3 linked regions of the Medicago truncatula genome follow. The protein of the gene in region 1 interacts with the protein of each later gene in a pairwise test. Links are inferred from orthologs where the notes say so. Each region holds a gene or a part of one and is shown in the gene's direction. Other genes may lie near its edges.

Region 1 (3,760 bases):
CACATGAGCTGAAAAGGAACAGTGTCAGCCTCAACTTCAAGTAAAGGAAAAAACTCATGAGGATTCAATCGAATTCTAACCAATAAAAATGTTGAAATAGACTTCCCTTATAAACAACACATAGTGACTGCTTGTTCTCTCTGAAACTTTACAAGGATTTAGATCCATTTCCATGTGCTACTTTGTGGTCCTAAGTCTGTAGAAGATAACTCCCAATAGCATCTATTTTTGAGTACCTCTAAAATACCTTATATGTATATTATCTTGTCATTTTCCACAATTGAAATTTTAAAACGTAACCCTTTTGATATCTTATACACTTAGTGGTATTAAATTTACTTAAAAGTGGAAAAATGCTATTTGGTTGATTTGATTGTTAAATTGAAAAAAAGGAGAAATTGATTGAGAGGTTTGGTCGTGTAATGGGATATGTATATGTATGCAAATATGCAATTTAATTAAAACTTTGAATGACTTGTAATAGGTATTTGATAATTATTGACCACGAAACATCCTTAGAGAGTAAATTAAAGTGATAAACAGGAATCTAATTTTGGATACTCGAAGGGATACAGTACTATAAATATGGTTGGTTAGGGACCAAGATGTTTGTAATTACATTAGAAGAATGTATAGTTGATGTGAAATAAACTAAGCAAAACAAAATGTAAACGCTCTCTAATTAGGTCCATGTATTGAGAGAAGAAGGAAAAGCAAAGGGGCAAAGTTGAAGAGCAAAGGTGAAGAAGAAAAGGCAAAATGAAATGATTACATGAATGAGATGGGACCCAATTGATAATATTTCCTTTCCAGGTCTTTCAATTTTATTTTTTTTTGACTTGGGATCGGGTCCCACTTTGGCCACCATTGTCTTTATGGATTGAATGATAAAAAGAGCACCTCACGTGGAGTCTGAACCAAAGACGCTGTCCAACCATAATCAAAAGGGAACAACACAATACTACTCTACTCTCTTCCTTCCATCACACAAAATTAAATTAAATTCAAACAAAAAAAATATTAGATTTTTTTCTACTTCCAGCTTAAATCTTCATCTTTCCATACAAGCAGAATGATTAAAATCTAAAAATATCTTCATTAAAAATATAAAAAATAAATAAATCCCACTCATCAGTTATAATGAAAAAGCTCATGAACACCACAACTCAAGAAAGCAATTTCTTTTCTGGAAAAAATCATGCTTTTTAAAGCTCACCCATATAATTCCCACTCATTATCTTTGTTGCTTAAAGCTCTTCTCCTCCTTATCTCATCTCTCACTATCTCTCTCTCTCTCTCTCTACTCTTAAACTTAACCACATCAATTCCAAAGCAAATTCCTTCATTTACCTAAACAAAGTAACAAATATAACAACACACCCATATCTCCCCCTCAAAATGAGAACAAAGACCCACCATACATATTAAACTACTATAACCTCACTTATCATACACAACAACACAAGTCTCTCTCATATTCATATATCAAACTCACTTTTATTTTTTTTATTTTTTTTTACTATCCATGCGATCATGGATGGAGGAGATGATCTCCACCACCATCACCACCACCAGCACCATCAACACCACCACCAACACCAACAACAACAAAGACAAAATTTTCCATTTCAACTTCTTGAGAAGAAAGAAGATAACCAAGAAGCAGCATCATGTTCAACTTCTTCTCCATATCCATCCCTAGCAATCTCACCAACAGAACCAAGTACATCAAATTCAAACCGATCCAACCAACTAGTCCCAGCATCAACACCAACAACCTCTGACCCTGCCAACAAAAAACCTCCTCCGAAAAGAACTTCCACCAAAGACCGTCATACCAAAGTAGAAGGCCGTGGCCGCCGCATCCGAATGCCGGCACTTTGTGCTGCTAGAGTTTTTCAGCTTACACGCGAACTTGGCCATAAATCTGATGGTGAAACCATTGAATGGCTTCTTCAACAAGCTGAACCAGCTGTTATAGCCGCCACTGGTACTGGAACTATACCTGCTAACTTCACATCTCTCAATATCTCACTTCGTAGCTCAGGCTCATCCATGTCTGTTCCATCTCAGCTAAGATCTTCTTACTTCAACCCGAATTTCTCACTTCAACAACGAAGAACTCTTTTTCCTGGAATTGGTTTATCTCCTTCAGATAACAACAGCAACAACAACACTTCAATGCTTTTGAATTTCCAATCAAATAACCTAACAAATATGTTGCAGGCTAAACAAGAGGTTCGAGATGGAAACACAAACTCAAACGCTAACGCGAACGCTCCTTCTTCATCAACCACGTTAGATTTATCTGAAACAAGTGGAGAAGAATCCATGGGAGGAAGAAAAAGAAGAACTAGCAGTGGTGGCAGTGAGCAAGATTTATCATCATTACAACATCAAATGGGGAGTTATCTGATGCAATCAAGTGCAGGTTCAATTCCAGCAAGTCATACTCAGATTCCGGCAAATATATGGATGGTTGCAAATTCTAATAACCAAATAATGAGTGGTGGTGATCCTATATGGACTTTTCCGTCAGTGAATAATAGTGCTGCTGCTTTGTATAGAGGAGCAGTTTCAACTAGTGGTTTGCATTTTATGAATTTTCCACAACCTATGGCTTTGTTACCAGGTCAACAATTAGGTAATTCTTCCGGTGGTGGTGGTGGTGGTGGGAATATCAATATGAATATGAATATGAATGAAGGACATTTGAGTATGCTTGCTGGTCTTAGTCCTTATCGTCCGGTTTCCGATCATCATCAACAACACCATCAACCAAGTGGATCACAATCACATCATCATCGCAGTGGTAGCCATGAACACGATGATCGACATGATAATTAATCACAGCTCCTACAAGATCATCATCTTCTGCTTCTTCTTCTTCTTCTTACATTACTTGTCTAGTAGTTTGATTTGATGATGTGTTTAATTTTAACACACACGTGAGGTTTGTTTGATCTTATTCTAAATTGAGTTTTATTGTTTATTAATTATTATTATTATTATTCCCAAAATTAATTTTTTGGTGTGATTAAGATTTTGGAAGAGAGAATGAATGATTCAGGAGAAGTGAAGAGAAAACAAGATAGTATTTTAGGGTTTGGAAGATGAGAGTCACTATTTAATTAACAATTGGGGTATTTGGCTGCCTGCTTTACTTTTTTTGTTCTTTTCCTCTGGCAAAAAAAAAAAATGTGTTCCTTGAATTATTTCAGTTCACTACTGCTACTACAGGATATCTTATCATCATTGTTTGTGCAATTCACTTTTTCTTTTTGAATTTTTTTTACCACGTAGCTAGCTTTTTAATTACATTGCTTTGTATAATTCTATGTTGAAGAGAGATCCAAGAAAGAAAACGACTTACTACTATTTGATTTGATTCCATTACACGACTAGCTGAGTTGAGTTTCCTACCTAACAGGCATTTTTGTTTTCAACATTTATGCTTTTCCTTTTCTTTTTTTCCATCTCTCTTTCTGGGCCACAACAAAGCTCGTGCGGTAAAAGGAATGAAACAGTGTGTTACCCTAAGACTATACTATAGATAAAAAAAAAAAATGTACTAGAACTACTATTAGTAAGTGAAGTGAAGTGTGTTAAATAATGTAAATTTACATTGCTTTTTGATCATTCTGATTCTACTAAATGTGTGACATGAATCAGGAGGTTTACTGCATCAATGATTAAGATTTAGTAAAAGAAAGATGGGATGGGGGGGGGTAATATGGAATAGTACGTAAGTGGGGTCTAA
Region 2 (3,064 bases), on another chromosome or scaffold:
TTCTATTTTACAATTAAATAATAATGATAAATATTTAATAAAAAAACTACTTTCTCCGCGGAAACCAATTACGCCAATGTAAACTATGACCTCCCGTAGCACATAATTTATCTTTTTTTCGTTTTTTCTTTTTATTTTTTTGGCAGCATTGTTTTACATTTTTTTTTTTGAACAAATAGCATTTTTTTACATAAAATAAAACACAACAAATAATAATGATAGATAAAAATATATTAATTTATTTGAACACATAATACATAACGTTATTAACTACCGATTATTTAAACTCGGACAATTTCTCCTAATATGACCGGTATGCCGACACAACCCACACCGTCTCGGTGTTGGAGTCCTCTCCACCACCTCCTCGTCCATTTCAGTCCTTATGCGGGTACTATTGGGTCGACCTTTCTTTAGTCTTCGCATGTTTGGATTATGGCAAAGCACGGGAGGTCATAGTTTACATTGGCGTAATTGGTTTCCGCGGGGAAAGTAGTTTTTTTATTAAATATTTATCATTATTATTATTTATCATTATTATTATTATTATTTATCATTATTATTTAATTGTAAAATAGAAAAAACGAACAAAATAATAAAATAATCAGTCCCGCCAGATGAAACGGCGGGAACGGAAAAAAAATAAAAAAAAAAAAGCAGCGCCAGCCTGACGCGACGGCTGTCAGATCCGGCGGCCAGTCCCGCTATTTCAGATGGCGGAAACGCGCTAGAAGACAAAAAAAAAAAAAAAATTCAAAAGTGGGTCATTTCGGTATTTTTTTTTCAAAGGGGGTCATATCTGAATTTTTTTTGGCAAAAAGGGTTAGAAAAAAAAAATTTCCCAAAAAATCAATCACTTATATTCTTTTCGTAATTTAAATGCCAAATAAAGACACTTTACGTTCAAATATCATTTCGCAAACTTAAAATAGGAAAGAACACAACCTAAAATGAATGAAATTAGAAATTAGAAATTACAAAAGTTAGTCAACTTTTTTTTTTTTTTTACAAAATGTTTTACTACTAGTGATTTTTAGGTGTAGTCCAATTGAAGGGAACAAAGGTTCTAGATTAGAACAACAATGAATAGGGAAATGAGGAAAAATAAATGAAGCTCTCGAGTAACTAACTAAACCAAAGACAAAGAGGATTGGGAAACAAGCAGCTTGGAACAAAAGTGGTTTGGTTCGTGTTAGAGAAGACACGTTTTGTGTAAATAACAATCGCTTAAAAGGAGCGTAGCTTTATAACTCCTCACACCACGCAGTCACGCACACACGCACGCGCCGTAGTTTCTTCTTCTCTCTCCTCATTCTTTCCTATAAAACCACCTTATTCTCCCCCTTGTTTCCCTCAGACATTGTCTCAGTTTCACAATTCACAAAAAAAAAAATCTCTTTATGTTCATTCTGTCTCCCATTAAACCAAAAAACAAAAAACTTCTCACTTTCAATTTTCAATTTTCTCACAATGGCTCCAAGAGATAACAGAATCACCAACACCACCACCGGGCCTGGGCCAAACCCATCAGCCCAGGCTCAAGCCCAGAAAGAGATTCGTTACAGAGGTGTAAGAAAACGTCCATGGGGTCGTTACGCCGCTGAGATCCGTGACCCAGGTAAAAAAACACGTGTCTGGCTTGGAACATTCGACACCGCTGAAGAAGCAGCGCGTGCTTACGACAAAGCGGCACGTGAGTTTCGCGGCTCAAAAGCGAAGACAAATTTTCCAACGCCGTTGGAGATTATCAACAACGGTAGCCCTAGTCAAAGCAGCACTCTTGAATCACCGTCGCCACCTCCGCTTGATTTAACTCTCACACCATTCTCCTCCTCCCACGGTGGTGTTACCTTGGCCTATCCGGTGGCGCGTCCTGTTTTGTTTTTTGACGCATTCGCACGTGCTGAAACAGCCCTAACCGTTGGCCGTCGTGAGATGTGTGGATTTGAACGTCCCATGGCTGATTTTCGACGCGCCGCCGTGCAGAGTGACTCTGGTTCTTCTTCCTCCGTTGTTGATTATGAAGGTGTGCCACGTCAGAGACTCTTGGATCTTGATCTTAATGTTCCTCCACCACCTGAAGTTGCTTGATCTGGATCTATTTTGAAGACCCATAAGCAAAAAAAAAATTAATTTTTTTTTTTCTTTTCGTTTTTTGAAGTACCCATTTTGATGAACGGAATCACTCTCGTGAAAAATATTTAACGAAGAAAGAGAGAGAGAACGCAAAGTGTGTTGCTGACATGGTGCTCAGATTTGTTCATGAATATGATGATAACGAGCACGCTTTGTAAATATAACTGAAAGAAGGAACCTTATTAATTTTTGCAACTGAGAACTTGTTATTAGTATCTCATGGTTGTTTCTGCAATTAATCTTAAATTATGAATTGAAATTTTAGTTAATTACTCTATGATATGTTATGGTAGCATTTTTATTTGATTTCATTCTAGTTTGTTTGTTTGATCAAAGTTCAAACGTTATCCACTAGGTAGAGAATATGTATATTTTATGTTCACTTTTTTTAAGGTACAGTTCAGATTTGTTTCTATGTATTCGGTTGGATTTGGCTGTGGAGATTTTACGATTACAAGCATGTGAATGTTGCCGCCGCTGTGAGTATAATTAGGTTAGGGTATTTTTTTTCTCAAACGAACGTTCTTTGATTGGTTTGTTCTTTTCGAATACTAGTACTAGTAGTAATGGTTGTATTTTTAATTGATGTTTGGCTACACTAGATTGTCAACATGGGCTCCACTTTCTATCAGAAAATTTATTAAATGTAAGGTTTGTTGTTTCACCTCAGCAAAAAAAAGTAAGGTTTTTTGCGTGAATCAAATGACTAAACAATTGTGCTTCTATGGGAATTTTGATTGAACATTGTAAGTTAATTAGGTGAATTTAATTATTTTTGAATGAAACAAATGACTTTACATCTTCATTTCGGATTGAATTTTAGACCACAAATACACTAATTGTAAATTTGTTGAAATTGTCTACTTAAAATAAAACAAAATCTCAACTTTTATAGTAAAATGTTTAACACAAATTTTAAATTCTTCAA
Region 3 (3,760 bases), on another chromosome or scaffold:
TTTAATTAAAATACTATTTAAAAAAAATATTTATTAATGTTTTTAATTATACTCTTGTTAGTATTATCAATTATCTTATAATATCGACTCGATGATATATCCATATTTGTTGAGATCTATAGGTTTCAAGTTGTCATGTCTGTTTACACATTGGTACTGTATGCTCGAAAGAGCTTGATGCTTGTTGCTTTGTTTATGGAGTTGTTGCCGTGTTGGCAATCAATCAATTCGCCGAAATTAAACCTTACATGTTCGTGCAGATGTTCACTTTTCATTTTTTTTTTTTTGTAATTTGATTTTACACTCGTACACGGATTCGCTGGATTGAGCCAATAATTTGTGAATTTTTTTGTTGAAATGGATAAGGATTGATCACTAAGTTTGATTTATAGCGTTGTATTTTGGGTCAGGTTAATATCCATCACTCTATGCATCTCTTTTTGTTTAATATAATCTTTTGGCTAAAAAAAATAATATTATCTTATAATATGAAAAATTAATATTAAATACAGCTATACACAAATAGTCCAATTTAATAATAGGAACGTATATTTTAGACAAATTTATTGCTCGTAATTTTATATTTTTAAGATTCATGATTTTTGTAAAGTTGTCTTATAAAAAGGGGATGGAGGAAATACGAGAGAAAGATTAACCCACTATGTATAAGACAATCTCTAATAGGGAGATCTTAAATTTGAAGACCTTAGTACTTATTAGGTACCCTATGAGAGAATTGTTTTTAGATGTTTATAAGACTCAAGGTCTCACTTAAGACTTTAATCTTAAGTGAACTCTGTATATTTTTAATATTTTTTTTGTACAAGCCGTATATTTTTAATATTAAAAACTTGGATGTAACAATATATATTTATTGATAGTTGATTAACATGTCTCATTTAAAAAAATTGTCTGAGATGCTGGAGGAACTGAACGTTTATTAGGTGCTATTGTTAAAAAATGCATATCATTCTTTAGGCTAGTTAAAAGTAAAATAAATAGTATAATTCATTTGGCCGAGACATGCATCGTTATATGCAGGAGCCGGTGTTCGAACCTCAGACATCCCAATTTGAAGGTGAGTTCTAGATAAAAAAAGTAAAATAATATAAAGAAAGAAAGAAAGAAAACTGTTCTGGTTTTCGGTATCAGAACAAACTTTTTGTCTTTTGGGGTCTCCCTTCGTAAGAAGGAAGAAGGTGTGTGTTGTGTGTGAACAAGGAGGACCCCACACAGACACACCTTTGTATTCCAAATCTCCTCCTCCTATCTGGATTTTAAATAATAATGATAATTGATGAAATGTTTTACTTTTCTTCAAATTTAATTTGACTTTATAATCGCGTGCACTTCTTCTACTTTTCCCTCTTCTTCACATTTATTCATTCTTTTTTTTTTTTTTTTATAATTAATTCTTCATTATTATTCTTTTTCTTCAATTGTCAATGATCTAAAGAGTCTTTTCTTTCTTACTCGTTTTTGAATCATTCTTCCAAATTAGATCACACAACCAAACCAAACTATTTCAATTTTCTTACAATTCGCTTTTCGCTGCTTCTGCAATTTCTTAACAGAGGTTAGTTCATAATTCAAGTTTTTTGTTTCATAAACTTATTTAATTTTATTTAATTTTTATATAAACCTGCTAAACCCCCGTCTTTTTTGTGTAAGACAGGGACATCTTGTCCCGGCACTAACTCATGCGATTACATTCAATTATGTCAATTTTTCAAATTACTATCGCTGTCGCGTGTCAGTGTCTGTGTCCGTGGATGATTTTTTTTGCAATATCTTGATTCTTGATTGTGATTACTTTTTTATGTTGATGTTTATTTGTGCAGGGAGGAGCTGTTCTTGTTGAACATATAGCTATTTTTTTTATTCATGGGTTGGCTTAGTAGAATTTTTAAAGGGTCTGATCATAAGGTTTCTGAAGGGCATTACTATAAAGACGATTCGAGTTATTACTTGCCATCAACTTCAGGGGTAATTTTTAATGCAATTTGTAATGCTTTAGAAATTTTTGTCTGGTTTTGGAAAATGTTGTAAGTTATTGTTTTAGAAAATTTTGTGTCGCGTGTTTTGATAGGGTTTTGAATGTAGGATGTTTGGACTGAGAACGAGAATGAAGATATCGATCGTGCGATTGCGTTGTCTTTGGTAGAAGAAAATCAGAAAGTGAAAAATGTAAAAGGTGAGTGAGATAGCTCTAAAAGATTATTGCATTATATATATATTTTTTTTTTTTTAGGAATTGATACATATTTTCCTCAAAAATAGTTTCTGTTCTGTATTTATGAAGTTTTCTGTCCATCTTACAGACCACAAATCACAATTAGAAGAAGATGAACAACTTGCCAGAGCAATAGAAGAAAGTCTAAATTTGGAGTCACCTCCCAAACATGGAAATGATAATATGTATCAACCAATTCAGTATTTCCCGATGGGGTACAGGTATGAGTTACAGGATAACATTGTGCATCTCAATTCCCACTTATTCGTGCTGGTCTTGTTGAACTACTTGTCGACTGATGATCTTATGAATCATCAAGGATATTTTGGTAGGAAGGGGCTGATGTGATGTACACTGGACTAGAATGTAGCTTTAAAAAAACTGGACTAGAATGTAGTCTAGATACACTGTTCATTCTTTTTATCCTCTTCAAATACCTTGTACTAAACACTAGCCAAGTATAGAGTGCTGCACAAAAAAAATTAACGGTTGTTATTTATATGTGTGTGCGCGTGTGTTGGTATAGACTTTTGAGTTGCCAAGTCAGAAAGTGTGGGGTTGTTATTATTGTTGTTGTAGAGTCTTGATCATGATGAGATGAATATATAAATAACCATGGGGTACTATGAACTAAGTTCCGCAACCAAAGAAGGGATAGCTTTTGTATCATGTACATCGCATTCAATGCTCATAAACAAAGAGAGAAAACATTTGCCCATCAATTTTCTGTTTATGTTCAGTTGATGGAGAAATTATTCTATTATTTCAGCTTGGTGTTAGATTAGAATATCAACAACATATGTAATGCAGACTCAATTGTGGATATCTAATCTAATTATTTACATAATAGGATATGCGCTGGCTGCAATACTGAGATTGGTTATGGCCGCTATCTAAACTGCTTGGGTGCATTCTGGCATCCTGAATGCTTTCGTTGTCGTGCTTGCAACCTACCAATCTCTGATTATGAGGTGCAAGAATTTCCTTTGATCAAGTCAAATTTCTCATTTTAATGTTTTCGTAACTGTTTTTTGATCAAGGTTTTATTGGTATTTCATGTATATTTCCTTGCTTTTGTAGTTTTCCACGTCTGGAAATTACCCTTTCCATAAAGCATGCTATAAGGAAAGCTACCATCCGAAATGTGATGTCTGCAAGCACTTCGTAAGTATTTCCCCTTAACAACTTTTTACATTCTTGCATCTGATACCTATCATAGACTATCGTTTGCCTTTACTTTTTGATATGTAAAAATGGATGGGGAGAATGGAAAACGTTATCCAGATTACGGTCTTATGGGAGCCATACCTTATGAGTATAACCACGCCAAATGCTAATTTAGATACTAGTAATAGTGTAAGTAGATTGCTTTCCTGGTCCTGAATAATTGGTGTGCGAGTGTCGTTGATGTGAAGTTTTGAACAAGCTTTTATCTTTGGGAATATTAATACTTTTTCTGTCTTTTACAACTCTACGCTTTTATGCATTTTTTATGCCTGCAATTGGAGGGAGAATGGGAGATGTATC

Evidence for each region.
Region 2: the proteins of transcription factor TCP15 (region 1) and ethylene-responsive transcription factor 4 interact in binary tests that used the Arabidopsis thaliana proteins (3 or more experiments, as listed by UniProt). The link is inferred for Medicago truncatula from reciprocal best matches to the Arabidopsis thaliana genes TCP14 and ERF4.
Region 3: the proteins of transcription factor TCP15 (region 1) and protein DA1 interact in a two-hybrid assay, tested with the Arabidopsis thaliana proteins (2 studies listed by BioGRID). The link is inferred for Medicago truncatula from reciprocal best matches to the Arabidopsis thaliana genes TCP14 and DA1.

Annotation. Positions count from the first base shown.
Region 1 is NC_053045.1:52,947,147-52,950,906, reverse strand, and holds transcription factor TCP15, read left to right. Parts: upstream 1-1,095; 5' UTR 1,096-1,533; coding exon 1,534-2,847; 3' UTR 2,848-3,255; downstream 3,256-3,760. UniProt on the Arabidopsis thaliana protein: Transcription factor involved the regulation of plant development. Binds to the Up1 elements (5'-GGCCCAWW-3') in early light-induced proteins (ELIPs, e.g.
Region 2 is NC_053043.1:38,973,785-38,976,848, reverse strand, and holds ethylene-responsive transcription factor 4, read left to right. Parts: upstream 1-1,345; 5' UTR 1,346-1,470; coding exon 1,471-2,091; 3' UTR 2,092-2,442; downstream 2,443-3,064.
Region 3 is NC_053042.1:6,673,168-6,676,927, forward strand, and holds the start of protein DA1, read left to right. Parts: upstream 1-1,141; 5' UTR 1,142-1,576; intron 1,577-1,841; 5' UTR 1,842-1,884; coding exon 1,885-1,986; intron 1,987-2,103; coding exon 2,104-2,194; intron 2,195-2,321; coding exon 2,322-2,454; intron 2,455-3,083; coding exon 3,084-3,204; intron 3,205-3,313; coding exon 3,314-3,397; intron 3,398-3,517; coding exon 3,518-3,589; intron 3,590-3,760. UniProt on the Arabidopsis thaliana protein: Ubiquitin receptor that limits final seed and organ size by restricting the period of cell proliferation. May act maternally to control seed mass. Acts synergistically with DA2 to regulate seed size.